2 linked regions of the Tribolium castaneum genome follow. The protein of the gene in region 1 binds, or shares a complex with, the protein of each later gene. Links are inferred from orthologs where the notes say so. Each region holds a gene or a part of one and is shown in the gene's direction. Other genes may lie near its edges.

Evidence for each region.
Region 2: the proteins of Rabex-5 (region 1) and ras-related protein Rab-21 are in contact, whole or in part, in a crystal structure (PDB 2OT3), measured with the Homo sapiens proteins. The link is inferred for Tribolium castaneum from reciprocal best matches to the Homo sapiens genes RABGEF1 and RAB21. Residues at the interface, in NP_001273991.1 of Homo sapiens: Leu253, Cys254, Lys296, Phe299, Asn300, Lys303, Pro309, Ala310, Ser311, Ala312, Asp313, Phe315, Leu316, Pro317, Ile320, Leu347, Met348, Thr349, Gly350, Glu351, Gly353, Tyr354, Tyr355, Thr357, Asn358, Cys360, Cys361, Ala364, Phe365, Ser373; in NP_055814.1 of Homo sapiens: Ser19, Phe20, Lys21, Gly26, Glu27, Gly28, Lys32, Thr33, Leu37, Thr50, Thr51, Leu52, Gln53, Ala54, Ser55, Phe56, Ala71, Trp73, Asp74, Thr75, Ala76, Gly77, Gln78, Arg80, Phe81, Leu84, Ile87, Tyr88, Asp91.

Annotation. Positions count from the first base shown.
Region 1 is NC_087395.1:26,374,193-26,391,138, forward strand, and holds Rabex-5 (rab5 GDP/GTP exchange factor), read left to right. Parts: upstream 1-7,801; 5' UTR 7,802-8,293; coding exon 8,294-8,426; intron 8,427-9,193; coding exon 9,194-9,382; intron 9,383-9,432; coding exon 9,433-9,757; intron 9,758-9,864; coding exon 9,865-11,137; 3' UTR 11,138-11,174; downstream 11,175-16,946. Other genes in the region: guanylate cyclase 32E, read left to right, coding at 241-339, 391-1,157; dsd (attractin-like protein 1), read right to left, coding at 2,112-2,950, 3,043-3,785, 4,086-5,340, 5,454-6,151, 6,247-6,473; zinc finger protein OZF, read right to left, coding at 11,416-12,792; endos (alpha-endosulfine), read right to left, coding at 13,204-13,554; transmembrane GTPase Marf, read left to right, coding at 14,412-14,622, 14,667-14,887, 14,971-15,270, 15,326-15,433, 15,587-15,607, 15,678-15,964, 16,238-16,946. UniProt on the Homo sapiens protein: Rab effector protein acting as linker between gamma-adaptin, RAB4A or RAB5A. Involved in endocytic membrane fusion and membrane trafficking of recycling endosomes. Stimulates nucleotide exchange on RAB5A. Can act as a ubiquitin ligase.
Region 2 is NC_087394.1:37,244,499-37,260,296, reverse strand, and holds ras-related protein Rab-21, read left to right. Parts: upstream 1-6,171; 5' UTR 6,172-6,489; coding exon 6,490-6,624; intron 6,625-6,674; coding exon 6,675-6,961; intron 6,962-7,041; coding exon 7,042-7,270; 3' UTR 7,271-7,397; downstream 7,398-15,798. Other genes in the region: SIN3-HDAC complex-associated factor, read right to left, coding at 985-1,273, 1,329-1,666, 1,781-1,934, 1,993-2,066; Mbs (protein phosphatase 1 regulatory subunit 12B), read right to left, coding at 8,874-8,972, 9,896-9,982, 10,033-10,218, 12,188-12,259, 12,419-12,540, 12,587-12,761, 14,056-14,208, 14,325-14,502 and 3 more. UniProt on the Homo sapiens protein: The small GTPases Rab are key regulators of intracellular membrane trafficking, from the formation of transport vesicles to their fusion with membranes.

The DNA of each region.
Region 1 (16,946 bases):
TTTTTATCGAATTAAATAAAATCACCCTTCTTGTTATTTTATTTTTCTTTAATTCCCACAAGAGGGAAAATAAAAACATAATTTTTATTGCAATAAATTCCATTGCAAAAACAAACAAAACGAAATACGTGTTTGTAAAAAACTGACAATGGTTTTACGTTTTATTAAGTAATTCCCGAACTGCTTACAAATATTTTTATTATTATTATTTGCCATGGTTTTTTTAAACATTTTTCTTAGGCCCAGTGTGCGCGGGTGTCGTCGGTCTAAAAATGCCCCGATATTGTTTATTCGGCGACACTGTCAACACCGCAAGCCGCATGGAATCAACAGGAAGCCGTAGGTCACAATTCCAAAAGCGTCATTTAAATTTAAAATAAAAAATTACAGCTTTGAAGATTCATTGTAGCTCGGAATGCAAAGACCTTTTGCACAAACTGGGCGGTTACAACCTCATGGAGCGCGGAATGGTCTCCATGAAGGGAAAAGGCGAACAACAAACGTACTGGCTTTTGGGGGAAGACCCCTATTTCCGTAACTTGCGCAAGGAAGAGCGCTCAAAACGCCGCACAAAAACCGAGACCAAATCGCTAAACACCAATGGTCACTTCATAATCACGCGAAGCTCGCTCAAAAACAAAAACAGCATAGTGCGCAGCCCCCTTCCACGGTGCTCCTCCTTCGAGAGCCCCAAAAAACTGCGTTTCGCCAGTGGTGACAACCTGGAGAAAAAAAGCGATTCCAATTTTTTGGAAGTAATCTCCGATAATAGTCCGTGCAAAAAATCCTCCAATTCGCTCGTTGAGAATTCGCTCGACTGTTGCAGCGAAGCCTGGAAGACGTCCAGCACTTCGTGTCCGTGTATCGAAAATTTAGCCAATTCGGCTGCAACTTTGGCCCAATCGCAGCTTTCGATGCTGTACAAAGACGAGAAAAACGTTAAACTGGTCAGACCTACGTGTTACAGTGTTCCCATGTTGTGTTCGTTGGCTGTTCCCCGACCGGTGATTCACACGATTTCGGCGCCCACTAGCCCCAGGAAGCAGGATTTGGTCGATTTGACCAAATTCCCAGAGTGTGAGGAAGTCATCCCCTGGGCGGATTCCACGCCCTTGCTCAAAATCACCAAACCGCAAGACTCGGAAACTGGTGTCTAGTCATTTTTTATGTTTGGATTTAAGGCTCGTGTTATTTCTATTTATTGATGTTTGTTGTAATAAACGTGCGTATCGGATTGCGTTTTATTTATTTAGATGGCACAGTCGTGACACGAACGCGGGTCTAGAAAACCCGTTCCAGTATCAGGATTTTAGGAATTTGAAGAGTTCTTTACAATTTTGCTGATTATACAACCAGTAAAACAGGTTTTTCAATTTTAATTATAGAGATAATAAAACAGTAAGAAACATTAGTTATTTTTATTATTATTCGCTATAAAATTTAAATATTATACTTAACTTTTTGTGCTTGTGTTGCAAATGTGAAATGGTATTTTCACAATACGTTATGCAAATAACTATTGTTGGATTTGGGGTATAATGAGAAGATTGTCCGATAAGAGAACATATAACTAATGATTTATTTACAATAGAAATAATTGTACATAATATAATAGGTACATGGCAGTAAATAAAATGGAAAGTTACTAAAATATGTTGCATCTAAGTTGAATGTATTGATATAAAAATGAGACGGGTTGAAAACGGATACACGTTTCCTAAAATTTGAGTAAAGTGTACGTAATGAGATCAGGACCGCATTATATGATTCAAGGACTAGTCGATCCGATGAGTAAATAAAATTCGAGCCCATTACCGTAAAAATCAACAGATGAAAAAATATCAATAGTATAAAACAATAAATATGTTCAGTCTCTCATTAAAACGTCTTAAAAAAGCTCACCACACAAACAAATGGAGGAGGAAAAGAGGCGATTTTAAAAAAAGCAGTTAGTCATCATAATATTGCTAAAATTGCTTCGAAATACAAGTGGCGTCCTAAACACACCAATAACTATTTCATGTTTGTCATTTTTAATGCTATTAAAAAAATCCATGGCCTGGAAAAACGTATCACAAATTCGGACCAATAAGTACGGCAAAAAACCCCAACTAAAGACAACTATCAGGATGCTGACTTTGGGATTTGCGCGATTTTCCACTTTTCGTTTCGGTTTTCACTTGATCGATGCTCATTTTGCGGGGATTCCCCAGCGTTACCAAAGCACTAGCTATAGCCAAACCGGCCGACTGGCCCTTAACTGTGTAAGGCTCACAACCCGTCGGTAACCTCACTAAAAGACTCAAAACGGCCGCTTTATTACCATAACAAGGCTCAAGTGCAATAGGACTTGGGGCATCGCGCTTTTTTCGCTTCAAATCAATCACCGAAATATTATCAAAATCGAGCTTTTCCTTCACTTCCAACTCGACCAAAACTTGCGAAAACGGACGCGATGCCATTTGTTCCATCTCAACAAAAAGTCGCTGTCTGCGACGGTACATATCATACCTCTGCTTAATCTTCCACAAAATCGCAGCGAAAAGCAACAACAGGAGAAAACACGACGAAAAAGTGATAAAAAACTGCTGCAAATTTAATTTCGGGTACTGGGAGAAAGAAATCTGGATCCAAAGTGGCGGCTGGAAATCGTAAACATAAACGTAGAACGTGGTCAAGGTGATGTTATCCTCAACACCGAAATTATAATCGGACTTAGGGAATTTCGTCCGGAAAGTGGTACAATTGAAATCTTCATAAATCGGCTTCTCTTCCTTTGAACCACCACGTCTTATTGTTATGTTCATTTTGGCAAGAACGGAACACGTTATGGAAAAATCGGCATCGATGTCGGCCTTAATCGGGGAATTTCGGAAATTTATTTGGGTAAAGTGGCGATCTTCTTTCTTCGACAGGTTGAAGGTGAACTGATAGTCGATTGTTAAATCGTCTGAAAAAAAATGACAACTGAAATGTTGGCAAAAACTAACAGATAAAAAGTTAGTTGTTATTTTGAGTGATTTTACGAGGTGAAAAACTTACAATAACACGAATCCTTGTTAATCGGGTCGGAATTATAGTGATTAGTGGCATCACACTTCTCACAATGATCCCCAATCAATCCCTTTGTCGTGCAATAACACTTGCCCGATTCTGGATGGCAATGCGTCGCCTGCCCGTTACATTCACACGGTTGGCATTTTCCCCCATTTACGGGATTCCCCCAATACCCTTTGACACAATGCTCACACTGCGTCCCCATCGTCAGATTCTGACACGGTAGACAAACACTCGAATTCGCAATACAACTCGCATGTCCATTACATTGACACAACGGACACGTTGTAAAATGCCACCGATCTGGAGGACAAGTGGACGAAGGGAGCGAATGAGTGTGTAATGTTGGACCAGCATATCCTCCAGGCATACATTTGCCAAGACCTGTCCTGGACCCATCATCGCACCATCCACAAGCGGGGTCATCGCGACATTTTGCACACGTGGAGTAGAAACTGCATTGGGAGTTTTCGTTTGCGCCTCGAGTGCGACATTTGCTTCCAACGGTTGTCCATTCGCGACACTGACCATAGGGGAAGCTGGCCGTGTAGGCGTTTTTGTCAACGCAACGGCCTTCGTTCTGGCACCAGATGCACTCCTCCTGAGTGCAGTTGAGACAGGAATTGTATTCGGAACAGACTTTTTGGCATTGGATGGGTTCCGCAGCGGCGGCGGTTACGTTGGAAGGCAAGGGGTGGGTCACGCATTTGGCGTGCTCGAAGCGCCATCTAAAAACTTACCTTGAGCGATTTGCCTTAAGAATAACGAAACGATATACAAATAAAACGTCGAAAAATGCTTGTAAATATTTGTATAACAGTGGGCAAGAGTCCAACAAAAAAATAAATAGGCAAGATAAGAGCCTTAAATTCTCAATAGTAAATAATTTTTTTAACAGCTTATTAAGAGTGGAAAACTCAACATTTTTTCTAACTGATTAGTGAATTTTTCATTTTAAATTAAACGATTCAATTTTTTGTCGATTTTGTATCTCGTTTCGTCTCCGTATCATCAAGACTGCCGCTTACCTGCAGAACGGTTGCGAGGTGCAAGCCGAGCAAGTGTGCAGCTGCTTACAAATAGGACTAGGATCGAGCGGACATTGTTCCAATTTCGCAATATTGGCCTCGGAGCTATTTCGACATTTTTTGTTGTGCATACAGGAATTTCCACACCATACGCACTCGCTCGTCGTTTGAACGCAACTCAAACAATCTTCAAATTTCTCACAACGATTCTCATTCTGGATTAAACTTTGCGTAATCATCGTACGACTCAATTCCGGACACCGGATTATCAACCCATCCAATTGAACCGTCAAATTCTTCACCGGAATATTCTGAATGGCCGTACAAAAATTATTCCGCATATCCCAGACACACTTAACTCCGGGCTTCTTACTCAAACACTCATTGGAAGTGATAAAATTTGTACAACTCCCGGGTGTATATTTTAACATATCGGACAACATTTGTCCGTCAAACCCTCCATAAATGTACAACGAACCCTCAAAAGTAACGGCAGAATGACCAAAACGAGCCAAATCAGCGTGAATATCCTTTGGCACTTGTAACACCTGCCAAGTATCACACGTAACGTCATAAGCCAAAAACTCCGAACTGTAACACTTTGCTCCGAAACTGTGCAACGTATCGTTGTGGGTATTTCCCCCAAAAACTAGCATTAAACCCCCCGAAATAAAAGTCGAAGTGTGGAGGAAACGAGCCGAAGGCGCGTCCTTCAACAACACCCAAACTCGCGTATTGGGATCATACGAATAAAGACTTTTACTCAAAACTTGAGCCGACTCATTTTCCGAAACCACTCCTCCATAAACATAAATTTTCCCAGTCAAGGGATCCCAGGTGGCTGTATGTCCATAGCCACCCTTGACCGGATATCCCTTAGTTGCAACTATGTGCCACTCCCGTGTACCAAAATAATACTCCTGGACCGTATTCAAGTAGCCAAGATGTGGCGAATGACCGAATAAAACAATCATACGATCGGCTTTCCGATTGGTCGAATTCTCAATCACAGTGGCTGTGTGTCCGGCCGATTTCAACGGCCCACACATCAACACACTCGAATTGCACGCCACTGCTTTCACAGTTATATTCTCCCAAGTTTTGGCATTAATATCAAAAGCCCACACTTCGGACGTGGGCCCCCGATTACCCATCACACCACCATAGAGGAAGATTTTATCGCCATAGATGACGGTCGAGTGACCGTAGCGTTGGGAGGGACTTTCGGAAATGTATGGTGTCTCCCAGACGTTCCCTGAAACGCCACTGGTTTTTTAACTGTTTCCATGACTACGATGTTGTTTCCATGGATACAATTACACTGTTTCCATGGATACGACATTGTTTCCAGTGGCGTGCGCGACTTACCGTTAAAATCGTATACATAGAGCATAAATCTGCGACTGTAGCTCTCCCCGGCGATGACGTACATGGAGTCCCTCCACACGGCAGCCCCATGTGAGGCCGATCCCGGAGGCACAAAACTTTCAACATTGACCGTTTCCCAATAGCCACTGGGGGCGTATTGACTGCAATCGTCCCCCTTGTAGTCACTTTCACACCGGCACCCGAATTCGGGCTCACAGCGGCCTCTGCCGTCGTGTTGTCCGCAATTATCGGGGCATTTTTGAAGGTGGCATGCCACCCCCGTCCAGCCCCCGTTGCATGTGCACACTTGATCAATGCAAATGCCGTTGCCGCTGCAGTCCACCCCCGATATTTTCGAGGGACAGGCGTTGAGGCGGTAGGTCATGTTGAAGCCAGACATGTTGAAAGCATCGTCGCTGAAGAAATGGACGAGGGCGGAGCCCGAATAAGCGACGATTTCTGGGATGCGGCGGATGTTGTAGTCGCCTTTGTACATGAGACCGCTGAAGACGGCCAGAAGGGGCGAGTCCACGCTGTCGCCGTCGAAGATGTACAGGTGGTCCCAACCGCACTCCGTGGCGAACTCCTCCAGGTGGAGGGTGATGGAGGTGTTGGGGGCGTCGATCAACCAGGAGCATTTCACGCTGAGAGAGTAGTTGCCCAAGCCGTCGTGAATGGTACCGGTGGAGGTACCCAAACTGAAGCAAGGAAAAAATTAATTTTTTTCTTGACATTTGTTGCGGTATATGTCTATGGAGCCAGCCGACTAGACCGAGTAATAGTGTCCCCTTACCGCACTTTTCCGCCGCAAAACTGGCACTGGGGCCCCTGCCAGCCGTCGTAACACACACAAGTCTCATTTTTACACACCCCATTGCCGCTACAATCCGCACATTTGGCCTTAACAAGAGAGCAAACATTTAAAACCACAACAGCACAACACAAAGCCTGCCACACGTAACATTTTCGACGGTATTTCGACTTGAACAAGAACAAAAACATTTGGAAAATTTCTAACATCTTATTACCACCATTACTTTACAGTTGCATTACGTCGACGTCAAAACAAAACGGTAAATTTTAATTGAAAATGGACGAGTGGCGGAATTATCGATGCGAGATTAGAACGGGTGTTAATGATTAGGTGATGGTTTCTTCATTTCGGTGCTTTTTTGGCCAAGGGGTGACGGTTTTTTCAGAGAGATACTATTTTCCATATTTTTTTGACAATTAACTACATAACAGATGAAATGTCAACTGGCGGAAGGCTTGCACACGTAAGCGCTTAAAGTCACCAGATTAGGGGGCGGCTTTTTATTTTTAAGCAAAAAGCTCGTTTTATCGCTTTATCGAAGTAAGAACACTAAAAACGGACAGGATTATCATTTTAACGGCTCGGTTTGCGATAAAAAATGATACAATCCGATTGGCGCTACGCCACTCTTTTAACATTCCAAGTGAATGTATTATTGGTGGCCCCATAAATCACACATGTGGCTTCAATCTTTAATTAAATCATTGTTAAAAATACTGAATGCACAAGACAGCCGATTAATTTGCATGATATCATCACCAGATGTTTCCAGATAAGAATTATCAAATCATTCGACGAGTGGATGGACCTTGATTTAAATAATTTCAAGTGGTTTATAAAAAAAGGGCAACCTTCTCGCTTTTTTGATAAAAGATTTTTTATCTCATTTGAAAAAAGTAGTTTGGGCGCTTGTTATCGCAAGGTTGGCAGCACTGCGAAGGTAAAAAATGGCGTGCGTCAGCTGTTATTGATTTTTTGATCAAAACAACAAACATAAAAAATGAACTGTGAGCGATAAATTTGGTAAAAAAGTCCTTATTGCTGCAAAACGAGTGATAAAACAGGCGTGTGAGTCCTTTTTTGTTTCTAAAATTAAGTCGGTTTTATCAAGGCCAAAAGGTTATATGAAATTGCTTGAGTAATCTTGGCCAAATAAGTGATACTTGTTCAATGAAATTGGTTGTTCCGGTCAATATTGACTCTCGACACACATTACATTATATTTCCTTTGTGCTTGAAAGGCGCTTCTGATTTCAGGTTATCACCATCACCACAAGAAAGATGCAAAACATTTTGTTAGTGAGCGATTGACGAAACTTGCTAGACGGTGAGTAAACATTAATTAATCATCGCTAAATTTGTTGTTTATCACCGTTTGAAAAAATCATTGACGCGAATCGTCTTCAGTTATTTAGCACGAAAACTGTGCCTCGCTGCGATTGGCCGTAGATAAGGATTCTTGGTCAAATTAGACTTTTAACCTTGTCCATTCAATTGGTTAATCCTTATCGCTTGATAAACTCGTTCCAATAAAAGACTCTCCATCATCTTGCAACGGCAGTTTTCTCGTCTTAATCGAGCCAAGCTGTCTCGCGTTTCACGAAAAAAACAACACCGAGCGTTCGCCCCCCGTTTCCTCCTTGCGTTTTTCCAACCAGCACCCTGTCGTTAACAAATTCACCCCCTTGACAAACCCTCCACAAATGGCTGATCCTGGTGAAAGTTTAATAAGTGCCTTCATCGAATCCCTAACGAGGATTCACATCGTTGAAACAGCGGGCATCAACTTTCTAAAATTCCCCCAATTCCCAGTCGTCCAAATGCTAATGAAAGAGTTGAATTTGTGTGCACACGATCACAGCTTCGTACCACCGTGGTAAAATAATCAAAAACTAAAAACGAGTGCCTTTTATCGTCACTCAACGAGTGAAAAATCCACAACAGATGGGCGATTGAGAAATTCACAAAGAACGGACTCATAAACTATTTTCTTTAGTTCTTAAGTAGTGTTATTAGTGGGGTGAAAATGCCGATATTTGCCTTGCAGCGTTCTTACAAGTACATGATGTACGCCACCAAACAACCCTCTTTAAGGATCAATCAAGCCGATCTCAAGTGCAAAAATGGGTGCGGATACTATGGAAACGCCGATTGGGACGGTAAGTCCTCCATTACACGAGGCCGAAAAGTGTGTTATCGAGTTTTTTATCACACGGGTCATTGTATTAATTAATCGTTACTCCATCGTGAATTCACTTGAAAAAAAAAATAAAGACGTGTTGAGCTTTGCGTTCCTAATATCCTGAGAAAAACTGATGACAATTTTCACAACAAACCCGAGAAAAAAATTAAAGTGGAATTTATCAAACGATTTTTTGTCCCAAATAATAACCTTCGATTAAATTGGCCATTGGGTACATTATTTTTTTTAAGACTTAACAAAACCTTGATACGGAAATCTTCATTCTCATCAAGTGGTTATTTAACGTATATATCAAGTGCTTTTTGTAGCACTTTATTGGCAAATGGGAATTAGCTTTTTTTAATATTTTGATATTTACGATATAATTTTTGCATTCTTCTTTTTATCTTGTACTATTGAGAATTTAGCGCTTTGTCAGCGTGTATTTTTTGGTTTACCTTTTGCTAAAATACAGTCATTTATTTAATTCGTTGTCAGAAAACTATAATAACCCGTAGTCCATTATTACACAAGGCCGGAAAATGTGTTATCGAATTTTTTCCTTATCACACAGGTCATTGTATTAATTAATTATTACTCTATTGTAAATCGTGATAAGTTGGGTTTTGTTTTTCTTATCGCAGAAATTTCGAGAAATATTGACACAAACAATTAAATATTTTTCGTCGCCCTTTTGATGAAGCCGACGAAAAAAACATTAAGTAATTAATTCATCTTCGTTAGGTTACTGTTCAAAATGCTACCGCAACCACATGGACCAGGAGCGCCAACGAAAGGCGCGCCAAAGTCACTCCGACCAAACCAAAGTCTCTGGTTTTTCGAAATTCGAAGAAAAGAAGCGCCAACAAACCGACAAGAAGAACAAATATTTGAAAAGTTTGCCCGTTTTTCGCAAAACTTCAAGCGCTAAAGGTAAAATTGTTAGTGTTTGCAATAATTGTGTAAAAATGGGGACGGTGCAGATTCGGGTCGTCCGGAGCGTCATTTGGATTTGAGACAAGCGAATCCAGATGCTGATAAATTGACGGCTGAATTTATTTCGCTCTATGGGGTTTGGGGTGAACAAGTCCGAAGGGACTTTTTCAAGTGTGTTCAGTCGTTCACAACGAAGATCTACAGCGAGTTGGAGAATAAACCGATCGAGGATATTGCCGAAATGGCGCAGAAATATTACAATTTGTACAGTAATCGGGTCAATAATACGGAGACGTATCAGGAAGTTACAACAGACGTTCGGGATGAGTTGTTGGATTTTTTCGAAAAGTACGTCATGGTCAGTCTTTACAGGTTGGTATTGTTTTTATTTGACCCAAATTTATAAACGCGCTTTACATATTTTTTAAAAACTATTGTTAAATTTTCGTTAAAAAATGAGTTGAATGTTTTTCTTCTAGTTGGCTGTTTTGCCCACCGAGCACCAACGACGAAGAGAAAGACTTGATAATACAAGAACGCATACGCAAGCTTAGTTGGGTCAACGCACATCATTTAGACTGTTGCATTAGCGAAACTAGTATAGAAGTTAGGGATTTAGTTTACACAGCCATCACACATTTACTCGGAATGGATTCAATGAAAGCACCACAAGACAAGCTGTCTTGTGTTGTTTCCTGTTGTCAGAGTGTCGTCAAAGTTTTGCAACATTGTCAAGGAGGTCCAGTTAGTGCCGATGAATTTTTACCAGCTCTCATTTTCATCGTCTTGAAAGCGAATCCGGCACGACTGAAAAGTAACATTCTTTACGTAACGCGTTTTTGCAACGACAGTCGATTAATGCAAGGGGAAGCCGGTTATTATTTCACTAATTTGTGCTGCGCCGTTTCGTTTATTGAAAATTTGACCGCTGAGTCGTTAAATATGCCTCAGCAAGAGTTCGAGGCTTACATGAACGGAGAGATAACATCGGTAAGTGCCTGGGAATCGGCACTTGTGGCATGCGAAGGCATGCACCAGCTGTGCGAACACTTGTCTCTCCTTAAAGACTTGTCGATTCGCACGAACACGGTTCAAGACGAAACGAAAAAACTAACTGACGATATTTTAAAATTCAAAGAGGAGATGAACGAGAAAGTTAATTCGGTTCTGGAGCGCACTCCACTTATCATCAAGCCGCGTAAAACCCCAGAACTTAGTGAAAAGGTTGACGACACTCAAAACAGTCAAAATTTCTATTTGCAAAATCTCCAAATCGCCACAAGTAACATCGACGATGCCAAAACTAAATTACAACTAGACATCACACCGTGCGTTAGTAAAACATCGCCGACTGACGATCACAGTCTCTCTAAAATCAACTACGATATCGATTTTTCCGACTTAAGTGGCGAGAGTAGTTTGGCTGAATTGACCCCAGAAAAGAGAAAATCGCCAAGTTTCACACCGGATCCCTTCAGTCCAGTTGGGAGCAGTTGCCCGATAACACAGGCTCCTTTAATACCGACAAAACCGGACGATTTTGTTTTACCGTTCGTTGAAACGCAAGAAACTCTATTAGAGAAAGAGGACGAAGGACCGAATTTACCATCGCCGATTAAACCAATGACGGCACAATATTCGGGGTTTTCCAAACAGGGGTGGCAAATACCCAGCATTCCGTGCATTACGGGGGAGCTGGGCGCCAATGCATCACAAGCCAATAGTCAGACGAGTCAGGATAAGGAGAATTAACTGTATCAATGTTTTAAATATATTTTATTCCCAATTTTTCGTTAGTTTCATTTATTTCCATAGTAACAAACACTTATTATTCGTCACTATGGATACCGTGATCAATGCCATGGCAATTGTATTGTTACGACCATAGCAACGCGTCATCACCAGACGATTTTTTTTGTATCATTCACCTCTTAACCCGCAATAAAATACAACTTCTAGTTACGAAATTTATTTTTAGTACTTTTTTTATCTACACAGTTGATAAAAAAATCAGTGACCTAGAGACATGTCTAGGTTTGCGGGCAGTTAGACTCCGCCCAGTTGGGTACATCCGGCTTTTCCCCACCTCTAGCTGTTTCAAACTCTTGAGCCCTATGGTTCCTTTGATGTTTTTTCATGCTGCTTGAATCGTAGAAACCTTTTCCGCAAACGGGGCACACGTAGGGCGTCTCCCCCGTGTGTGTCCTCACATGTACTGTTAAATTGCCCTTAAGGGCGAAACTTTTGCCACAGTAGGAGCACGAAAAGGGTCTTTCGCCACTATGTGTCCGCAAATGATAGGTCAAATGTGACAGTTGAGTGAACGATTTGGGACAATAACTACAATCGTACGGTTTAAGACCGGAATGAATTAACATGTGAGAGTCAAAACTGCCAACATGAGCAAACGATTTTTGGCAGATGATACACCGGTGCGGTTTTTCCCCCGTGTGGACTTTGAGGTGCGACTGCAGCGCCGCTTTCGTGACGAAACCTTTGCCACAATCGCTGCATAAAAACGACTTTTCGCCGTGCGTTAAACTGTGCGCTTTTAACAAATGTTTGGTTTTGTAACCACGCGAACAAATCTCGCAAATATGTTCGCGCGCTTCTGGAGTTTCCTCTTTTTTGGCGTGGTGTTTCGTCCGAGTGTGTTTCTCCAAGTGGGCGTTGAACGGAACGAGGCGCTTGAAGCCACGCCCACAGTACGTGCAAAGGAATTTCATTGGGTCGGTTTGGTCACGTGCGTATTGATCGTCGTGTGTGTGGGTTTTTTCGTGGGCGTGGAGCGACGTGGCTTGGATGAAACCCCGCCCACAGGTGGAGCAAACGTGGGGGCGTTCCCCCGTATGTGTCATTTTGTGGCGCTTTAAATTGCCTCGCATACTGAAACTCTGGAGGCAGATTTCGCATTGGTAGGGCTTTTCCTTCGTGTGGGTGCGCATGTGTTGCGTGAGCTTGCTGCGAGTGAAGACCTTATCGCAGATTTCACACTTGTGGGTTTTTGGATCAGTCTTAGACTTGGGTTTTTCTTCGGAAGTTTCGTTTTTTTCAACTTCTTCCTCCTCAATTAGCGTTATATTGCAAAATTCTTCGTCTTCACCTAGTTTTTGCTCGGATTGTGGCTGTTCAAGCAATAATTTTAAGACAGCTTCGTTATCCTGACACTGTTTTTTAAACTCGTGAAAACGGTAAAGTTCGTTCAGGCATGATTCACATATGTTCTGAGGCAACGAATCATTTTTTGTCACTTGTAAAGTTACGCAAGACTCCAGTAATTCAACTGCTTTAAAGTCCCCAATTATTGTGTCCATGATGGGCCTTGTTTTATTGTCCCCGAGACACGTGCGGCAGATTCGGTCAAAGTCACTCACAGTTATGGCTTTGGAAAAGTATTCACAACTCATTTTTTGTGGTTCTTGCCGAATAATTAACAGAAAACCATTTTTATGACCACTAATCTTACACCGATTTTATCAATGAAAAGGTGTTAAATAACACGAGATAATCACTTTAATTCAAACACCAACTCCACTTTTTCTAGTTTTAATACACCTAACGTAGGTATAAGCTGGGAAATTGAATTTTTTTGATAAATAAAATAATCACGTAACCTCACTTCCCGTGACAACTTGTCACGAAACTGGGGAATTTTATTTTTTTGGCGCCCAATTTAAACACGTCCAAACATTGGAAAGAAAATTTTATTGAGTACTTGAAAAATGCCAATATCTGTATCCATTTAGTAAAAAGTGGTGGAATAAACAAAATAAATTAGTAAGGAACCAACAACTACACTTAAACGCTACTTAAAAAAACTAGCTGACATTCGATGTGAATTTTGACGGCTGTATGATGGACGTTTTTCTCGCGGGTACGGTCTCAGGTGTAGGGATTGCCTCGCCAGTGGTGAATCCTGGCACAGGGACAGTCTTGACCTTATTGACACCGCCTAGCTTCTGCTTGGCCATTTGGTAATCGCCCGAATCGAAAAACTTCTGCCCTTTGGCCAGGCGCTTCTGCAGGAAGGCCGAATGGCCCCCCATGAGTCGGTTGGGGGCGCCTGACGACCCCCCGTACTTGGCTTTGAGCTTCGCCTCTTCCATTTTCTCCACATCGTGGGGGCTCATCTCGGGGGGAGTCTCTGACTCTTGATCTTGATCGCTCATTTCTAAACGCAAGCGTTGATCGAATCAACAGGGAATTAACTCAATTACCTCAAAATTGTAACAAGAGAAATCGAAATGACAGTTGGACAACAATAAGCGGTGACAGTCTGACAGTTGCTAATGACTACCAACGTGATAAAAACGAGATTCAAATTCTACACCAATTTATGGGAATTAATTGCGATTACAATTAGGAAATTATTGATAAGAGTCGGCAATTTATTGGTATTGTAGTTTTTGGGATTCTAGAATCTGGAGTTTGAACTAGTAGTCCAAAAATATTTTTTTTATTAACACAATCGCGTCACCAACCGCATTAAAAAGTTCCCAAACAAACGTCAACGTCAAAAATTAAAAACTCGTGCTTTGGAGGAATCGCCTCACAAAAATAATAATTACGTAATCAAATAACACAAAATGTAAGTTAAATCATACAAAGGGATTACAATTGTCGGTATGAACTTGTCGTTTTTTCAAATCTTGTCTCTAGATACGAAACAATTGAATAGTTTGACAGTTTTGGTGTCAAGTCGCCTATAAATATATTTATACCGATTTATTTATTTTTTGGGCTATAAATAGCGTATTTATACACGTTTAATGCGCCTTAGGTACGTATTTGCCCCGTTTTGGTACACATATCGATAATTCGCCTTAATTTTTCGAGGATTGTAAGTTGGGGTTAGATTACCCCGGACGTCAAGATGCCCACAAACGAGCAGGTTTTTCACACAATAATTTATGTCAATCACATGTCGCATGTCGCTTTTTATCCACAGAATAAATGTTTCTAAGTTGTAATGTTTTGTTTCAGTTGCTGCTGCTAGACGCATGGTAGATTGGCACCCCCTTGTTTGATGGCCGCTTATATAAACCGCACAATTTCGTTGATGGCGGGCGATGGCCCCCACAATAAAGCCATTCCTGCGAGCATGGTTGACCCTAGAAGCGCCCGACAGCCCCCTGACAACTCCCCTTTGCAGATTTTTGTCAAAGCCAAGAAGAAAATCAACGATATTTTCGGCGAGATTGAAGACTATGTTAAAGACGCAGTCGAGTATATGCACGGTGAGTTGAAAATTTGGCGACCTTGAAATGATCGCAAGTTGCAGAAATCGAGAAACTGCAAGAAATTGTTAACCAAGAAAGGGTTAAGAAAACTGAAGACTTTGTGAGTAAAGTGCACGGAATTCGCGATGTCTTGAGTCGTGACCACATGAAAGTTGCGTTTTTTGGACGCACTTCCAACGGGAAAAGCTCAGTTATTAATGCAATGCTGCGCGATAAAATCCTTCCCAGCGGAATTGGTCACACGACTAATTGTTTCCTACAGGTAAAGTTATTTTTGCGTCTAAAGCTAGAATTTTAAAAATTTTAAATCAATTTTTTTTCTTGAATTACTATTTTTTTTGACAGGTTGAAGGTTCACCGTCCGATGAACCTTACTTGGTTCTTGAAGGTTCCACTGAACACTGTGCTGTGGAATCTGTTGGCCAATTAGCGCACGCTTTGTGCAAAGAAAAATTGAACGAATCGCAAATGGTGCGCGTTTATTGGCCGCGAAATCGCTGTCTTTTGTTACGAGACGATGTCGTGTTCGTTGATTCGCCAGGAGTTGACGTTACGCCGAATTTAGACGAATGGATCGACAAGCATTGTTTAGATGCTGATGTTTTTGTTTTAGTAGCGAATGCTGAATCTACACTTATGGTTACGGTAACAAATAACCAAATTTTTTTGAATATCTTTTCGTTAATTGAATGTGTAATAGGAAAAAAATTTCTTCCATAAAGTCTCGACACGACTCTCAAAACCAAACATTTTCATTTTGAATAATCGATGGGACGCTTCTGCCACCGAACCGGAATTTTTGGATCAGGTGGGTGTTGAAAATTCACAAACACCTCGATTTTTGTTTGCATTGCATTGCTTAATAATTTTTGTTATCATTCTCCTTGTTTTGTCGCTTTTTTCTTGATAAGTTTATTGATTTTTTTTGTCCATAATTACATCAAATTTTCTCACATTTAAGCATTGCAATGAACAGGAAGAGGTGAGTTATTAGATTCACAGTGACACTTTAGAATTTAAATCTTCTATTAAATTAATAATTTTTTCTACAGGTCAGACGTCAACACCAAGAACGTGCCGTCGATTTTCTTGTCAAAGAACTAAAAGTTTGTACACCGAAAGAGGCCGAAGAACGAATTTTCTTTATTTCGGCCAAAGAAGTACTACAAGCACGATTAGCTGAACAAGGACAAACCGTTTCAACACCGCTAACTGAAGGTTTCCAGACGCGTTATTTCGAATTTCAGGATTTTGAACGAAAATTCGAAGAATGTATTTCGAAATCGGCCGTCAAAACCAAATTCGAACAACATTCACAACGCGGAAAATTCATAGCAAAGTGAGTACAGAGTCTAGGGAGTACTATAGGTTAGGAGGCGACGCGAGATGCAAAATCGTACCCAAAAAAGTTAGATGGCAGAATAAAAATTAGGGCGCTGCGAGCCTTTTTAGCAACCCTGTAACTATAGAGTTACAATACCAAACTGACACACTTTGTATAGTTCATGATACAATTTTTACATTATTTTAATCTCTTGCCACTGAGAATTAATTTATCTGCCTGCAATTTTTTGTTCGCCTTATTTAAAAGTGATTAAGTAATTTTTTTCAGCGAACTTCGCGAGGTTTTAGACGATATTTACAACGACGCGCAAAAACTAAAAGACGAGAAATTGCGTCAAAAGAAAGAAGTACACGACAAAATCAACTACACTGAAGAGCAACTAATTATAATAACACAAGAAATGAAGCAAAAAATCCACCAAATGGTCGAAGACGTCGAACAGCGCGTTTCCAAAGCTTTAAACGAGGAAATCCGTCGTTTGAGTACACTTGTTGACGAATTTAATCTCCCCTTCCATCCTGAACCTTTAGTTTTGAACGTTTACAAAAAAGAATTGCATTTGCACGTCGAAACCGGTCTTGGTTCAAATTTAAAAGCCCGACTTTCAACAGCTTTAGCAATGAACATGGAAGCGAGTCAACGCGAAATGACCGAACGTATGGAAAAATTACTACCAGCAAATCACAAAGCGGCGTCTAATTTTATTTTACCGCGTCGGCAACCGTTTGAGATTTTGTATCGGTTGAATTGCGATAATTTATGCGCTGATTTTACCGAAGATTTAGAATTCCGATTCTCTTGGGGGATTACCACGCTAATTCAACGATTTGCCGGCAGTGGCGCCAATTTCCTCGCCTTGAAAAACAAACGGGAAAGTCCGCAAAATTCAGTCATCCCCTCCACTCCAACCGACCAATACGATGGTCGTATTTTATACGGCGGCCAGCCTTCAATCATTGAAGATTGGTCGTTGATT
Region 2 (15,798 bases), on another chromosome or scaffold:
TTTACAAAATATAATCTAATAAAAATAATAAATAATGTTGCATAAACTCTTTCAATAATGCACAAAATTAATGTATGATGAAACGAGTCTCGATCGAAATTTAAATTGTGGATGATATCGCTGCCTTCAAAAAATAATAATACGAATAAACGAACGCTCTTTTTATATTATTATTATTATATTTATTCTAAAATACTTAGCATATAGTTTGTGTTTTTCTAGAAGAGGAACACTTGTGTGTCATAACTTTAGTATTTGGCAGTAAGTTCAAGACACCACAATTACGATATGATCTGATTTTTAAACAATATATTGCTTCAAACAGATTTTATAAGAATTGCACAAACACACAGATAAAATTACGCGTTACTTCTAGTCAGTCGGTCGTATTTATTCAAGGCAGAGTAACGAAATTACATAATTTAAAATAATAATTTAACACATCACACATTAACGGAATGAGAAAATAAAATCTTTTACACTGCCAAACAATAAATAAGTAAATTTTATCTTTGTGTCTTAAACAATTGACTTTTTGATTGAAATTTGTTGATAATAAAAATGGTGTCGTTCGTAATATAATAATAAACTTTTGGACCCAATCAACAGATTGATTTGGAACATCCAACGTCAAAAATTCCCCGTCACAGACAAATCTACATTTTTTATTTTATAAATTACAACTTCAAATATTTCACCCTGTGACTTGGTTGGTTGAGCAGGAGAAAAATATTGGAAATTACCAATTTTTTTCATCATTTGTACTGTCACCATGAGAAAAGAAAACCGGATTTATGCTTTTCTCCAGAATTATATCATTTGTACAGTGTTGTTAATTTGTGCAAATTAAGTACAACTACTATAAAGAAAAAAATATCAACTGGTAAAAAAAACGAGAACGAATCTGCAAGAAAGGCATAAATCTTTACAAACACAACGATCATTATGTATCAATAAATTAAAACAATCTAAAGAGAGCATACATTAATTGTTTTTGATCTGACTGTTTAACTCCTCTATACTAACTTGTTCTTTTTTAAAGGCACTATCTCCACTTATTGTGCCTTGATTTGACGACTCATCATAACCTGAATCCGAACTACTATCACTAAACATTTTCGTAGTGACTCCAACCTCCGGTTCGGTTTTAACTTCTTCATGTTGACTTGCCAACTTACACCTTAAACGTGCCGAACAAGCTTTCAAAAATCGATTATCAACGATTATTTCTCCACACATTCCTCTAAAGATTGTCCCGCAACAAATCGCCTCTCTGCACAATAAACTCACCAATTATTATCTAAAATAATAATAAATAAAACACCCACCTTTTCCAATACTCCGGACAGATAAAATCGCTCAGATCCGGAAGACTACTTCCATCCCTTCTCTTCGCTTGTCCTTTATGCCTCCTATTTTTCACCACATTTTCCTCACTGTCACTATCTCTAGGACTCGCCGTACGACTGGAGCCCCCACTGGGGCCATCCTCGCACAAAAAATCAACTTCAGTCATATCCACATCTTCGTTATCCGACAACGGACTGTACTCGCGTTCGAAATGCTTCTTCTTCTTGATTTTATCGCAATTCTCATCGATTTTCTTATTCTTACTTTTGAATTTCGACATGGACTTCATTCCGGGACCGGCACGCGCATCCACCACCTGATTTCGATACCATAATTGCATTTTAGTTTGTGAAAGCATCGTAAGTTTTTTTTTACAACAAAAAACAAATGACACACGGTTGCGTAAACAAATTTTTTTTTGGAAACTTACATGTTTCCAATTGCGATCAGAGCCGGCTGGGAGTTTTTTCCATCGTTTTACCAAAAGGACACAAGCATTGCAAATTTCACCTTGACGGGGTTCAGCCAATTTGAAGCATTTCATAAAGTCTTCTTCGTATTTTTTACTGTCCGTAAATCTGGAACTGGAAGGGAGAAAAATCATTGAAATTGTTTAATTTTTGACAGGAATTTGACACTAACCTGCTTGATTTTGCCTTACAAATACAGCATCCTGTTGACGATCTATACACCTTAGGTCTATGGAAGGAAAACATGATGGGGCAGGGGGTGTAGCGCCTAGACTAATAAAAATCTGAAAAAAATACAAACAACTTGTAAAAGGTTTCATTTCATTTTTTTATTTTTTCTTTTCCTAATAAAATTGCTGTCTCATCTCAAAAACACCAGACAACAATGCAATTTCTCTTTCTCGTTTTGAATTAAACGGATTTAATTAAGATTTTTTGTTTCACTGTCTAGCTCAAGTAGAGCAGAACCAAGCCAGCATGTTACTATTTCAAGCCTTAACAATTTACATCAAAAAATCTCTTAAAAATATATTTTTTTCTTTCTTTAATTTAGTTTGTCCCAAAAGAAGGATTTTATTAATTTTCATAAATGTGTCGTTGCAACACAACGAACCAAGATCATACAACCTTGAGATTACAATGAACCCTCAAATAAAAATGTATAAACAGGTCAACGACCAATGAACATTAGAATAATCTACATCCATCCTAAGGCGGCTTTTCGAACGAAACTAACTTTAATGGAATATTTCCCACTTTCTAATAAATTCCAAACATTTAAACAAATAAATGCACTAATTACCGGTAATGAACCAAAAAATTATCCCCCTAGTAACATAATCGTATATTAAGTGTGTCAAGTTAAAAATATCCAACAGAAAACGTCACACCTGTTGTTGATTGGGAGTAAAAAGGGCCCAAATCAAGCCTTTCAAACATGTGACATTGAATGAGATAATAAAAGGAAGGTCGAACCGGCCTTGCATTTGCAATTTTTAATTTACAACTCTCATACACAAGTGACCTTTAAAATCCTCAACAGAAAAAAAATTAACGAAATTTTCGTTTACCTGCTGATTTGTACGTTGCACCACGACGTTTCATTTCTACAATATGCAAAAGATTGTTTTTGTGGTATTGTTGTTGTCATACCGAGCAAAGTTTATCTATTCGAGCAAATGAATGTAAACAGATTTGTCTATAAATACACCAATGTCTTGTACATTTATCGTGAGATAAATTACTTATTCATAAAATGCATTCGGCGATACGGTGTAATTACAAAACGTATCGAAATTATGTCAACGTTTTGATATTTTGTTTTACGACGTAAACATAATGCACCGAGGCGTACTTTACATTTCGTAATAGTCAGGTATTTCAACACTCAACAATTTATTCCTGCTATTTATAGACGGAATGCAAATTGTATTATATCAACGTTTCATTACTGATTAATACTTTTAATAAAATAAAAATAACTTGCAGTTCTTCAAGTCGTCTAATAATGCACTTCCTACAATTACATCAATTATCTAATGTTCACAATTTGTAAGACTAGATAAGACTTATCAAGCTGTGACACCATAAATGTTTTCCCGCATTTTTTTATTTATTTTTTTTTTTGGTTATAACAAGGATTGTAATCGTAGTAAAACTATTTCTGAATTAAAATAAAAAAAATGAAATTTCGTTTCACAAAACTGCTATCAATCATTCGAGCTAATTATAGAACTGGTGTTTACATCGCGGCAAAGAAACCGATTCTTTTATCTCTGTGTAAACACCGATAAGTTCTCTACGAAAACATGACCTACGATTTGCTAAAAATAACCCCAAAAAGTGCATCTCGAGACAAATAAAACGATAAAGGTCGCGGACAGTGGTAGTAGGCCGTTGGGTGAAGGCGCCATCAATGCAAAACAGGACCATATAATAAACCAGAGGATTAAAATAGATACAAGACGACCGTGATTTCGACGAGTTTTGAAGCATCATTTACTTTGTGCAATCGTAAACAGCATCGTTGTCGCGACTAAAAAGTCGACAAACTTTAAAGGGCATTCACCTACAACACGGATCGATCAAGACACGAGTCAAAATTATCATTCGTTTTGTAATGACTGTAATCACAATTATTGACATAAATCCACCAAAAAAAAGCTTGATTCTGACACCATTTTCTATTAATATATAAACATCATGAACTTATTGAACAAGAAATAAGAACGCTACGTCCAACAACCCACTTACAAAAATAAACAAGCTCATCTATTTTGCATAATTTTAATTAAGCCATTTTTCCTGATTGAAACTAGTTGCTCGACTTGCAACAAGTCGGAGAGGAAAATTTCTTCACAATTTTATCAGTATTTTTTAAAATGGCAAAACGACACTTTTGAGGACAAATAGGTCACAAATAAATAAGTATACATGTTTAAAAAATGACGGTTGTTTTAGCTTTGAAAAACAGCAAATTATTGTTTTTTTCTGATTTCTGTACAGTTCTTTAGCCTTCCGTTTCCCATAATCCTCTATTTTTTTGTTGCAAGCTTAATGAATTTATAAACTGATATTTCTCTGGTATTTTTCTCCTTAATTTTCTAAACTTTCTAGACCATATAATGTCCGTTTTTCAAGCTCCATCATGGAGATCTCAGTTCTAAACTTACTGTTTAAACTGAAATAAATCTGCAGATTTTTTTACCCATGAATGTATTTAAATTTGGTTTAATAAATAAACCATTTCACAACACAACTTATTCTCTCTTAACTTTATTTTATGTTAAAATTTAGTTTTCTTTTCGTTAATGATCATATATTACATAATTTAAGAGTTGGAAGTTGATTTTTTGTTTCCATTAAGCGATTCGATTGAGCTACTATTATTAGTAGAACAACATTATAAATAATTGCATCTTCAATTTGTTGATAAAAATGATGACAAAAATTAATCACAATTTCCGCAAACAGTGAAAAAACCCCAATTGCAACAAAAACATTGATAACACTTAAACCAGAATCAATAATTTTCATTTATTTACTTTTAACAACAATAAAATGTTTACTACATCCTACAACCAGTTACAAACGGAAAAACATTAATTACCACATACTTAGTTTTAAAACACGGCGGGGGGTAACTTTTTGATCAATTCCGAGTCGATTAAAGAACGAAATTTCGATTTTTTTCTCAATGCTATAACAAATTTCGTGATAAAAACACAAAAATAACTGAAATTTCGGTAACATTTCATACAATTTCACGATGAAAATTATGTGGAGCGTTGACGCCGGCCATGATGGAACAACGCGTGGTGTAAAGAAGCCGGTCGGAGACCAGATCGTGCATTTTCGGCCCATGGGGGGAAAAACTATCGAAAAATTAAAGGCCCAAATCACACAAAACAGACACAAAGTTATGGAATTTCCCGTGGGCGTAACCCATTCATTCATATATGATCAGTGTGAGACAAAGGGTTAACACACTGGGGCCCAAATTAGCAAACAAATAGTAATAATTCCACTGACGTGACGCTTCAATTTTCAAAAATAATCAATTTTTGTGCTAGTGTTTTGCCCACAACTTTCTATTTTTCCTTCGAGAAATGGTGTCACGACCACACCGATTTTCCTCCAGTTTTTCCATTACATAATGCCTTTTAAATCGAAAACATCTCGATGCAATCCCGAAACTGGAACACTTCAACACGTGCATAAGAGAAAGCGGCCTACGTGCCAAACGTCCCGACTAATATCGCCCGTCGAAATAATCCAACAAAACCAAAATTTGGGCGACAATTGCACGTTTTCGACTGATTTGGTGCAAAAATCGCCCAAAGACATCCAATTATTTGACCTGATTACAATACTTGGAGCTGTGCTTTTGAACAAACGCTCTCTACCACCGATGTGACGCCAACGAAAAAAAGCGAATTTTAAATGAACTACGTGATAATTCCCAATGACACTCGTTCCCAATCATTGACACGACCTAAACTAACACTCAGGAGAGAGAATCATTCAATATTTTCACGTAGTTTTTGAGAAATTTAACGCAAAAAATTGATTGTCTACTTACCAATACAACACAGATGACGGCTAGAAACACAGATGAGCCACTGCGCATCTCAAGGCGCAGCCTAAAGCTTTCGGGGCGAATTTCAAACAATTTTAGCCTAATTCCCTAAAATACGCATCCCACAATTCACACCTAATTTATCGCAACCTGAAACATGCCTGAATTCTGGGCACAAGTCACGTTTTTTGCCTGAGAAACGCAAAAACAGTTGTTGATTTGAGTACGACTTCCGGTGTTACGTCAAGTTTGAGCTGACGTTTCCTTTTACAACCGACTTGTTTACACGTCTTAAATCGATTTGATTCTTCGCGGTGTTATTGTGGACCGAAAATTTTGTCAAAAAATAACCATTTGCAATTAACCAAGTCCTGAAAAAATGTGGTTTTGGCCGAAAATTGAAAAAATTTTGAAACCCCCCTAGCGGCGTTTTCCTAAACTAATTGCGACAGGTACGCAAAGTCACGCCTACATAAAGAACAATCAGCTGATTGTGAAAATGTAATCGAAAATAATTGTTGATTGTGGGGAAAAGTCTAATAAATCATTTGTGCGTAATTGTATTTAATGAGTCAGTGAAATTCGTTGACTATGGCCAACAACACCAGCGGGGCTTCCCACAACTTTAAGGTTGTCTTGTTGGGGGAGGGTTGTGTGGGGAAAACCAGCTTGGTACTTAGGTATGTGGAGGATAAATTCAACACGAATCATGTAACAACGGTCCAGGTACGGTGTTTAATCAAGTTAAATTTTCACTTTTACACACTTTTTTTCAGGCTTCGTTTCTCAACAAAAAACTAAATATTGACGGCAAACGCATAAATTTGGCGATTTGGGACACTGCAGGTCAGGAGAAGTTCCACGCCTTAGGCCCTATTTATTACAGATCGTCAAACGGTGCAGTGTTGGTGTACGATATCACTGATGAAGATTCGTTTCAGAAAGTCAAAAGTTGGGTGAAGGAATTGCGGAAGATGTTGGGGGCTGATATATGTCTAGTGATTGCTGGAAATAAGACTGATCTTGAGAAGAACCGAAACGTTAGCTTGGAAGAAGCCGAAGCGTGAGTTACACTTTAGGTTTTTCACTCTCTCATCACTACGCTGCTTGTGTTCAAATAACTTTTAATTATTTTTTTTGCAGCTATGCGATTAAAGTGGGAGCGATACATTTTCAAACGTCGGCAAAATTGAATAAAGGCGTTGAGGAGATGTTTCTCGTTCTGACGCAGAAAATGTTAGAGACTGTTGAAGAGAAAGAAGCGCAAAATGCGCCCTTGTCTAGACAGAATTCGCAACGTCGCAATGTTGTTGTTGTTGACGATGATCAAGTTCCTCCACCACCCACAAGACAATGTTGTAGCAATTCGTAAATTTGTGTTGTTATTTTTTGTATATAATTTCGTTTTAAGTCAAAAAATGTAACGAGAGAGTCAAGGTTGTAATTTGGAGCTTCCTCCAAATAATGCTTTATAAGAATAAACCCAAATATGTACAGAATTTTTTCATACTTACCTACCAGTCCCAAGAAAAACTCACAATTCGTATCAGGATTTTATTAAAGAATCAGCTATAAAATCACTATTCACATGATATTCTACCAGCCTCTAAACAAGGAATAAATACATGAAATAATTTACACACTAACTAAAAATTTATATAATAAATACAAAGAGAAGCAAGGCACAAGTTCAATGAAATAAAACGTTAAAACGCTAGAAATTAACAAACTGTATGTACAAATGTAATTTCGCTAATGAAACAAAACATTCATCAGTCCAATTTTTATTATTATGGTCACAGACAAAATTCATATGTAAAGTTTTGATTTGAACTTAGTGATATTTAGCACCTTATGGCATAATTTCAAAGTTAAAAACATCTAACAAGTGAAAAGTGCTCAACAAAATTTGTCGCAAGTTTTTCATCTTTGGACTAGATTCTAACAATTTAAACTTTTCGTTAAAAATCGATTTTGTACATTACCTAAGGAAAACAAACTTTTATAATGCTTATATTTGATCAAATGCAAGCATTATAAAACAAATATCAAGAAAAAACAAATAATTTATATATTTTTTGTAACATTAAAATCACAACAATTGTTAATAATAAGTTATTCACAAAGTACAGTACATTTAAATACATTTATATAATACAACATGTTTATATGTTTTACAAAAAATATACTTTAAATTGACATGTTCGTTTAGTAGGTAAAAATGAAGTGTTTAATACATGTCTTTTCCTACAATGTCAAAATAAATAAAAAGCAAATAATATCACACAACCAGCAAACTACAAGCAATCCAACACAAATGCCTTATTATGTCAAAATGTAAAATTTGCCTCAAATTCACCGATTTGAAGCAGACATTACTTGAATGTGGTCATTCGTTTCGTACAATTTTCAATAAATAAAAAATAACAATAATACTTGATTACAACAAAAAAAGGAAGGAAACGACTTCGGACTACGAAGTTCTAGTAATCAGAGTAAAATGCAATAGGAAAATTAAAACTTCTAAGGCTTATGCTATTTCGATAACTTACTAATCACTCTAATAAGCGCTCCATTCTCGTCCTTTAGCTTTTGATTTTCTACCTTCATAATATCCAACTGCTGAAAAAATCAATACGCAAATTAGCAACAGCCAATCGACTGTAGTAAGTTAAACACATGCTCACGTACGAATAATTAAGCCGTGTGTCAATATCGGTCCGTGAAAAAAAGCTCAAACATTCAAACAAAAAACACTGCACAAAATTGGAAATGTGAGAGAATATGTTAGTATGTTAGCAATTTAAAAAAAGAAAAACTTTTTTTGTTATTAGGTGTGTAAATATGCGTTCTACCATCATCCAACATCTGAACACAAAACAAGTGTACAATAATAAAACAAAATGAACAACAGGAAACAATTTCATTAAAAAAAATGGGCGAAATCAGCTGCATGGCGTTTTAACGAGTTTTACCTATTTTTTTGGAGAGTTGGTAAGTTTGGTGATGACACGAGTGAGAGACCTGTTGTCAGCCTTTAAACGTTCATTCTCGGCTTTCAATTTTTGCAATTGCTAAAACAATAATACAACGTGTACCAAATACAACTTTTATTCATTTATAACGAGGAGAAAAATCCTGAAAATTACACTAGATTTAAAGCTTCCATTATACTTAGTTAATGCGCTATGTATTTATAATTTACTGATAAAATTAGAGCGACACATGAAAAGCAATTAATTATGTATTAGGCAATTGGTACGGAATTAGATTTGGCGGCTTATTTATAAAATATTTGGGTTTCACGTTGACCCGTTTCTTTTTTATACAAAACAGACAAATACAATTCTCTCTGCTGCTGCTAAATCATTATCTCAAACAGGTCAAGAAATTCGCAAAAATAAACCATAAATGAAAAACAAAAATAACCAAAGACAAACATATCACGTGATAATAAGTCTGCTATTTATACGTTTTTAAATGCACATGATGTGAGCAAAAATAGCAAACACTCTAACTCATTTACACCAAAAAATACCGCATTTTATTTTTACACGCAATATTTGCAAGTCATTTTTCACAACTACACTGAGTGACAGCGGAAATGTAACATCAAATTTTGTTCAACAACTTACACTTTCACATTTCTAGGGTCACTGAGTATTATTTTTCACCACCAATAACTCAAATTTAAAAATAAAATGGTGTGCTCCAATTTTACAAGTAAAAAAATCATTGTGTCATCGAAAAATAATCGTTGCGACACAAAAATTGTGCATTGTTTGTTGTTTGTTGTGCAAGAAAATTCGTGTTTTATGTGGTGTTGTTACTGTTAATCTGTTAGTGTTAATGGTTAAACTAAATATCAAATTCCCGTCCAAAAGAAAAAAAAATCATCCAAAAAAAGCTTGCTGCAAACTACGAAATAATATTCGTACAAGAAAAAAAAATGCTGGAAGAAACTAGAATTAAATTATAACATAATTCAAATACCTACCTTTAATTCCTCCTCCATCTCACTCAACTTTCGTTCCATTGCCCTCCGTTCGCGTTTCTCTAATTCCGATAACGAATTTTTACTCGTCTGTAATAATTTCATTCAAACGAAAAAACTCACTTTAAGTTAAGACTTACCACAACTTTGAGCTTCTCCAGTGTCTGTTTTGTATCCCTCAATTCTTGATCTGACTTTTTCAGTTTGTCCTTGAGTTCATTGTTTTCGACAAGTGCTTGTTCATACAATTTTTTATAGTCAATTTCGCCGTTTTCGTTCCTAATATCCGAAGTGCTTCCTAAACGAGATCTGCTCGACCTATCACTCTGCAAACAAGTGTGAAACACTCAATAAAAAACACTAATTTTGTAAAATTCGTACAATATAACCCTCTGACGCTAAAGAATTTAAACTGATTGATTTTGATCCCAAGCTACTACCACCAGTTAAAGAATTACGCGATCTGGACAAGGAACGATCCCGCTCGCGATTAAAACTTCCAGTTCTAGATAAATCCCTTCGGGACCTATGTCCTGTATCGTACGTTTTCGAATAATTCGGAGTGACTAGATTTATATTTGCTAGACTTTTCGCTGGAATTGTTATGCTCGCATAACCGGAACTTCCCCTGTAACCATTGGGAAAATAGGGACTTTTGTAATTCGAACTATAACTGCCATAAGACGAGGACGAAGAATAAGGACTTGACGATGTATAAGGAGAGGTATAACCGACTGTATTTGTCCCATAATATCCCATACTCCTCGGTCTATTACTATAGGAATTTCCGTTGCTTCGAACCGCTGAAGATGAACGACGTCTCAAAGGAGGCACCGGTTGTTTACCGTGAAAAGACATTTTTCTCGATTAAAAAACAACACAAGAAACACAATTTTCCCGAACTCAAGTCAATTACTACAATTTATAGACTTAAAAAAATCATAGTATACAAATAAGTTTCGCATTGAACTCGAACATGAAACAGACTGAACTCGTGGAAACTCTAATATACACACACCAACAAAACTGGCAAGCTATTTAAATCCCACTAAACGACTCTCTATCTTCGTCTAATTTTGATTTTCCTGAAACGACCAGAAAAAAAAAACACAAGCACAACCCTTAGTTTATCAATTAATTTTTTTTTGTGTGTTAAATAAACATTGTTTAAATTTGTTGTTTTACGTAGAAATCTATTTCAAGGTATGAACCTGTTCGTCAAAACCACCGAAATAACGCACCCACGTAACGTTGCGACGTAAAGAAAATCTAGAAAAAAAGTCATACACGACGAATAATTGGCATTTCTGGTCTTTTTGTCAATTTTCTGAACTCTGGCCAATCCAACGTTTATGATAAATGAAACTCGCACCTGGCCAAGGTCTCAACGGCACGTGCGAATAAAACCGAAATGAATGACGAAATTTATTCTCACTATTTTTGCGATTTTAATAACCTACATTAAACCTGATTTGTTTATTTTACATTTCGCATAAGGGGACGATGGTGGTGGATATTCGAGATATAATTCGTATATTTAGGTACAGTTATTTTAAGCCGAAGAATTTAACGAGCGAAAGATAACTTCGTTTAGTTTAAAATTAAATTTTATAAGTTTCTTAATTAATTTACTACGAGAAAAAAGTTTAAACGACACAACACTGCTAATAATAAGTATGATATTTTGCAAGTTTGCCAAATTATTGGTTTAATAATAGCGCCGAAATATGGCAATTACACGAGACGTAATTAGTTCGCCAGTCAATTTAAAACAACAACAAAAATTCAAATTACAGTCGAGTTCTTACCTCAATTCGAAGCATCATCGTTACAGTACAAATAATTACGATTTATTAAAAAATGCCTCACACAGACGTAACACTTTCAATGCATGCGTACTTTTTATCAAATATTTTTATCACAAAAATTATGTAAGTGTATGGGCGTTAAACTTTATAACAATGAGATCAGAGTTGGCATTGTATTGGCCACAAGGTTCCAATTTTAGTCGACTCATAATACAGTTCCTTGGTTAAAAATTGATTTTGTTTGTATTTTTTAATTAAGCGATGACAAACTTTTTTAAAAATATAGATAATGTTTAGTGAAACTTCCACAACCTTGCTCCTTTCATCACCTCCCACTTACGAAATAATTAAGGTTTTTCTAATACTAAGAAAATAACGTTCAGGTGCGTTTGTATTGAGAAAAAAATTCGAATTAGATTCGAACCGTTGCCAACGAAAATAAATGAACGAAATAAACAAATTAATCGAACGCAAAAACATCGCTTACCTCTTCGTGATTTAATTTCGTACTATCTTCATAATCACCACCTCCTGACGGATCCTTATCTTGATCCATATCCTAAATGGATAAAAGTCGTTATTAAAAAAAAATCATATATATGTCACGAGAGTAATTACAACCCTCTGCTTCGTGTTGGGCTGCAAACTTTGCCCACGGGAGGAAATTATACACTTTGCTCCCTAGATATATAAATCGCGATTTTTTACACACACTCACATCCATATTTTCAAACGAGACGACCCCTGTGGACCTCCTCTTGGGCCTCCTTCTTCGTTGGATGGCCGCCTGTGTGGCGAGAGTGGCTTGAGCGTTGCGTACGTCATTTTCTTTGTCTTGTTCTGTGTAAAAATCGGTTAAAATTCGTCCAATTTTTTTTTATCGTACCTTTTTCATCTTGAGTTTTTGGTCTTCTCAATGGTAACGTGACCGTAGTTTCGGCCGTTTCGACCGGTGCCGATGACGGTCTAGGATTCGTGGTGGTATTTTGTGTGACGGTGCGACGGACAAAGGACGGAGTGCTTGGTGGTTCAGAGGATTTCGTTGCATCTTCCAGTTTAAACTACATCCAACAAAAAGTATTAGCGTGCACACATTTATGCCCAAACCCCGTGTTGTTAAACTATATAGACCCCAAAAAATTATTAAACACAACGGTTATTATTCAATAAACATTTATTAGAATTTCATTTGGTACTAGTAACGAGATCGGTTTAGTTATTATTATGACACTCCAGATAAATCAGTATTTTTTGCTGTGCTACAACTAAATACAAACAATAGCATTACACACTAACATGCATGCTTAACGTAATAATACAAGAAAAGTGACGTTAAGTACAAAATATGTTGGATAGGGTTACAGATTAAGTATAAGCTTAGAAGAAAAACCAAAACGCAAATCTGAAAAAAAATGACTACAGTAAGGATTGATATTCACTAAATTAACGAAGTAAACCGATGTTAATAAGCAATCAAAACCAACACACATAATTACCTGCCAATAAGTTCGTAATCCAAAAAAAAAAACAAAAAAAGAAGATTCCACTTTTAAATTCTTATTTCACAAGTTTAAATTTTAATCAAAGGTCTAATTAATAGACAGGCCAAAAAAGTCCAAATACAAAGACTAAGTTTTAGCACTAAATTTTGCTTAATTAAATAAAGAAGAATTTAAAAATTCAGATAATACGACCTAGAAACATGTATCTCAATTCATACAGAATTCATCAATTTTTTTCAAGTCTTTATATTGGAAATGAATTAATTAATATTAAGTCGCTGTGAGAAATATAATTTCTTTGGTTCATTGTTTAGAATGGCACTTACTATTATAGAACGATAGAATTGTCTAATTGAAAAATTGTGCACCCATTTCGGCGATTTTGTGGTTTACTTTAATCGAAATTTCACATTTTTGGGCAACAATTTTTCCAGATATGTCGCCAAAATAATGTCATTTTTGATTTAGCCTAGTGAATTTTTAAACTGAGTTTTGAGTTCAAAATAAGTTTAAAAAAAAGCAAAAATAACTCGATTTTCGCCTAAATTCGAATTATTATTTTTTGGATAATTTTCGAATAATTGCGTTTTTTTTATGAAAAACGTGCTAATATGACAAAAATTAATTTTAGCAAAATTTAATACTATGTTCTAATCAATTTTTCATTCACATTTCAAATGTAACTTTTGAAAGTTTAACCAAAAGCGGTACACGTATTATCAAGAACCTCCTCCTTTGGTAATTTTGCATGTTTCAATCATTAAAAAAAAAGAAGAAAAAAGCGAAGAAGAAGTGATAAAAAAATCATCCATTTGCGGCTCCACAGTGACTTTCACAACACCTAAAAACTCACCTTACTACTACTGTCAATTTTCAGCCTCCACGACGGCCTACGCTCATGAGTAATACTGGGTTCTTCAGTATCACGTGTTATAACAGTAGGTGCCGCAGTGGTTATTGTAGCGGTCACACTCACTCCGTTAGGGGAATCCCCGTTAGCTCCAGACTGTTAGTACACATTACATATGATTTATTAAATGAATGGAAAAAAATTATTACAAGAATTATTCACCACTCCCGGATGAATAAGCCATAAAACTGAAAAATGAAGTCACGACTTACTTGCTCGTTATTGTTGTTATTGCAATTCGGTTGATTCTTCTTTTTAACGAATTGTTCAGCCGATTTTATCTCCTCCAATGTTACACCTTGAGTCGAACGCCTCGTCTCACGAACACGTTTCGCATGAGCTTTGCGTTGCGTTTCACTTTCTTCGTCACGAACGGGTGGCACAAACGACCTTTGGAAAAAAATTAATCAAACAAAGCTCAACTTTAAGAAAAAGTAAAAATTGGCGAAACTCAAGTCAAACATTTAGTAAGCAACGTCACACAAACTCGGTTAAAACAGTATCATACTTGAAGAAGTTTTTAAACATTTGAAGTCTATTGCCACCAGGTGTTGTAGGAGTTGTTGGAGTGCTAGTGGTTGTGACAGGTTGATTTGTGCCAATTGGCAATTTTAAACCGCTAATGAAAGAATTGACAAAATAAATTTACGAACTGACAACACATTAAGCCTAAATCCGATATTTCTTAGTTTTTTCTAAACGCTTACCTTCGAAGTGGTTGATTATTAGATACTGGACTCATAACCGGTGATGTTTTCGTTGATGATGTACTGTTATTTTCGTTGCTGTCTTCTTTCAAACTTCTAGAAGGAATAAACAAGGAATTTGTTCAATAAAAATGCATTTATTATTTATTCTATTTCGTATGAATAAAAAATGTAAATAAAACTCGTTCCAAATTGTTACGTTACCACCTGATTTGGTATTGGTCTGAAACTTTAGCGACAAAAAATATTGCCAATATTAATGAAAAACTATTGAAATAGTATTTTTTTTTAATGACTTGACCAGCCTCACCATCAGACAGTTTTTGAAAAATATAAAAATAACAATTACTGGCATCTGGTGACTTTCGCCTTAGAACAGATAACTTTTTTTTGGTTGTAATTCTGACTGCTCGTAACAATTTGAAACGACTTTTAATTAATTAATAATTCCCAAGTTGTAAAACTAATGACTTGTCACAAAAAAGTGAAGTTGTTTGATTTGTTACAAGTGATAAACTTTCATAATCAGTTGTAATATTTTAGATTATCAGAAAATTTATTTCAATATTTATCAAGAGAAGTTTTTCATGCAAATGCTAATAAATCGTGACGAAACACTTGTGCAGACATTTAATCTCCTACACAATCGTAAAAAAGCACTAAATACATCTCAACAACGAATTATTATAAAGCGATGGTCATCAAGCATTAATTGTTGGATTAATTGTTAATATTTGCCCTTTGGTTAAAAAACCATCGCTTTATAATAAAAAAAATTGAAGACGACAACAACACGTGCATACCTGTAATGCTGCTGAGAAGTTGAATAGGAATTTGGGATAATGTCGGAATGAGGTCTAGTCGAATAAGGAATAATGTCATTGCTATTTCTATATTTCTTAATGCGTGCATGCAGTTCCTCGTATTTCGAGTAGAACCTAAACAATACAAGCAAGTGTCAGAGCGTTAGATGCAATCA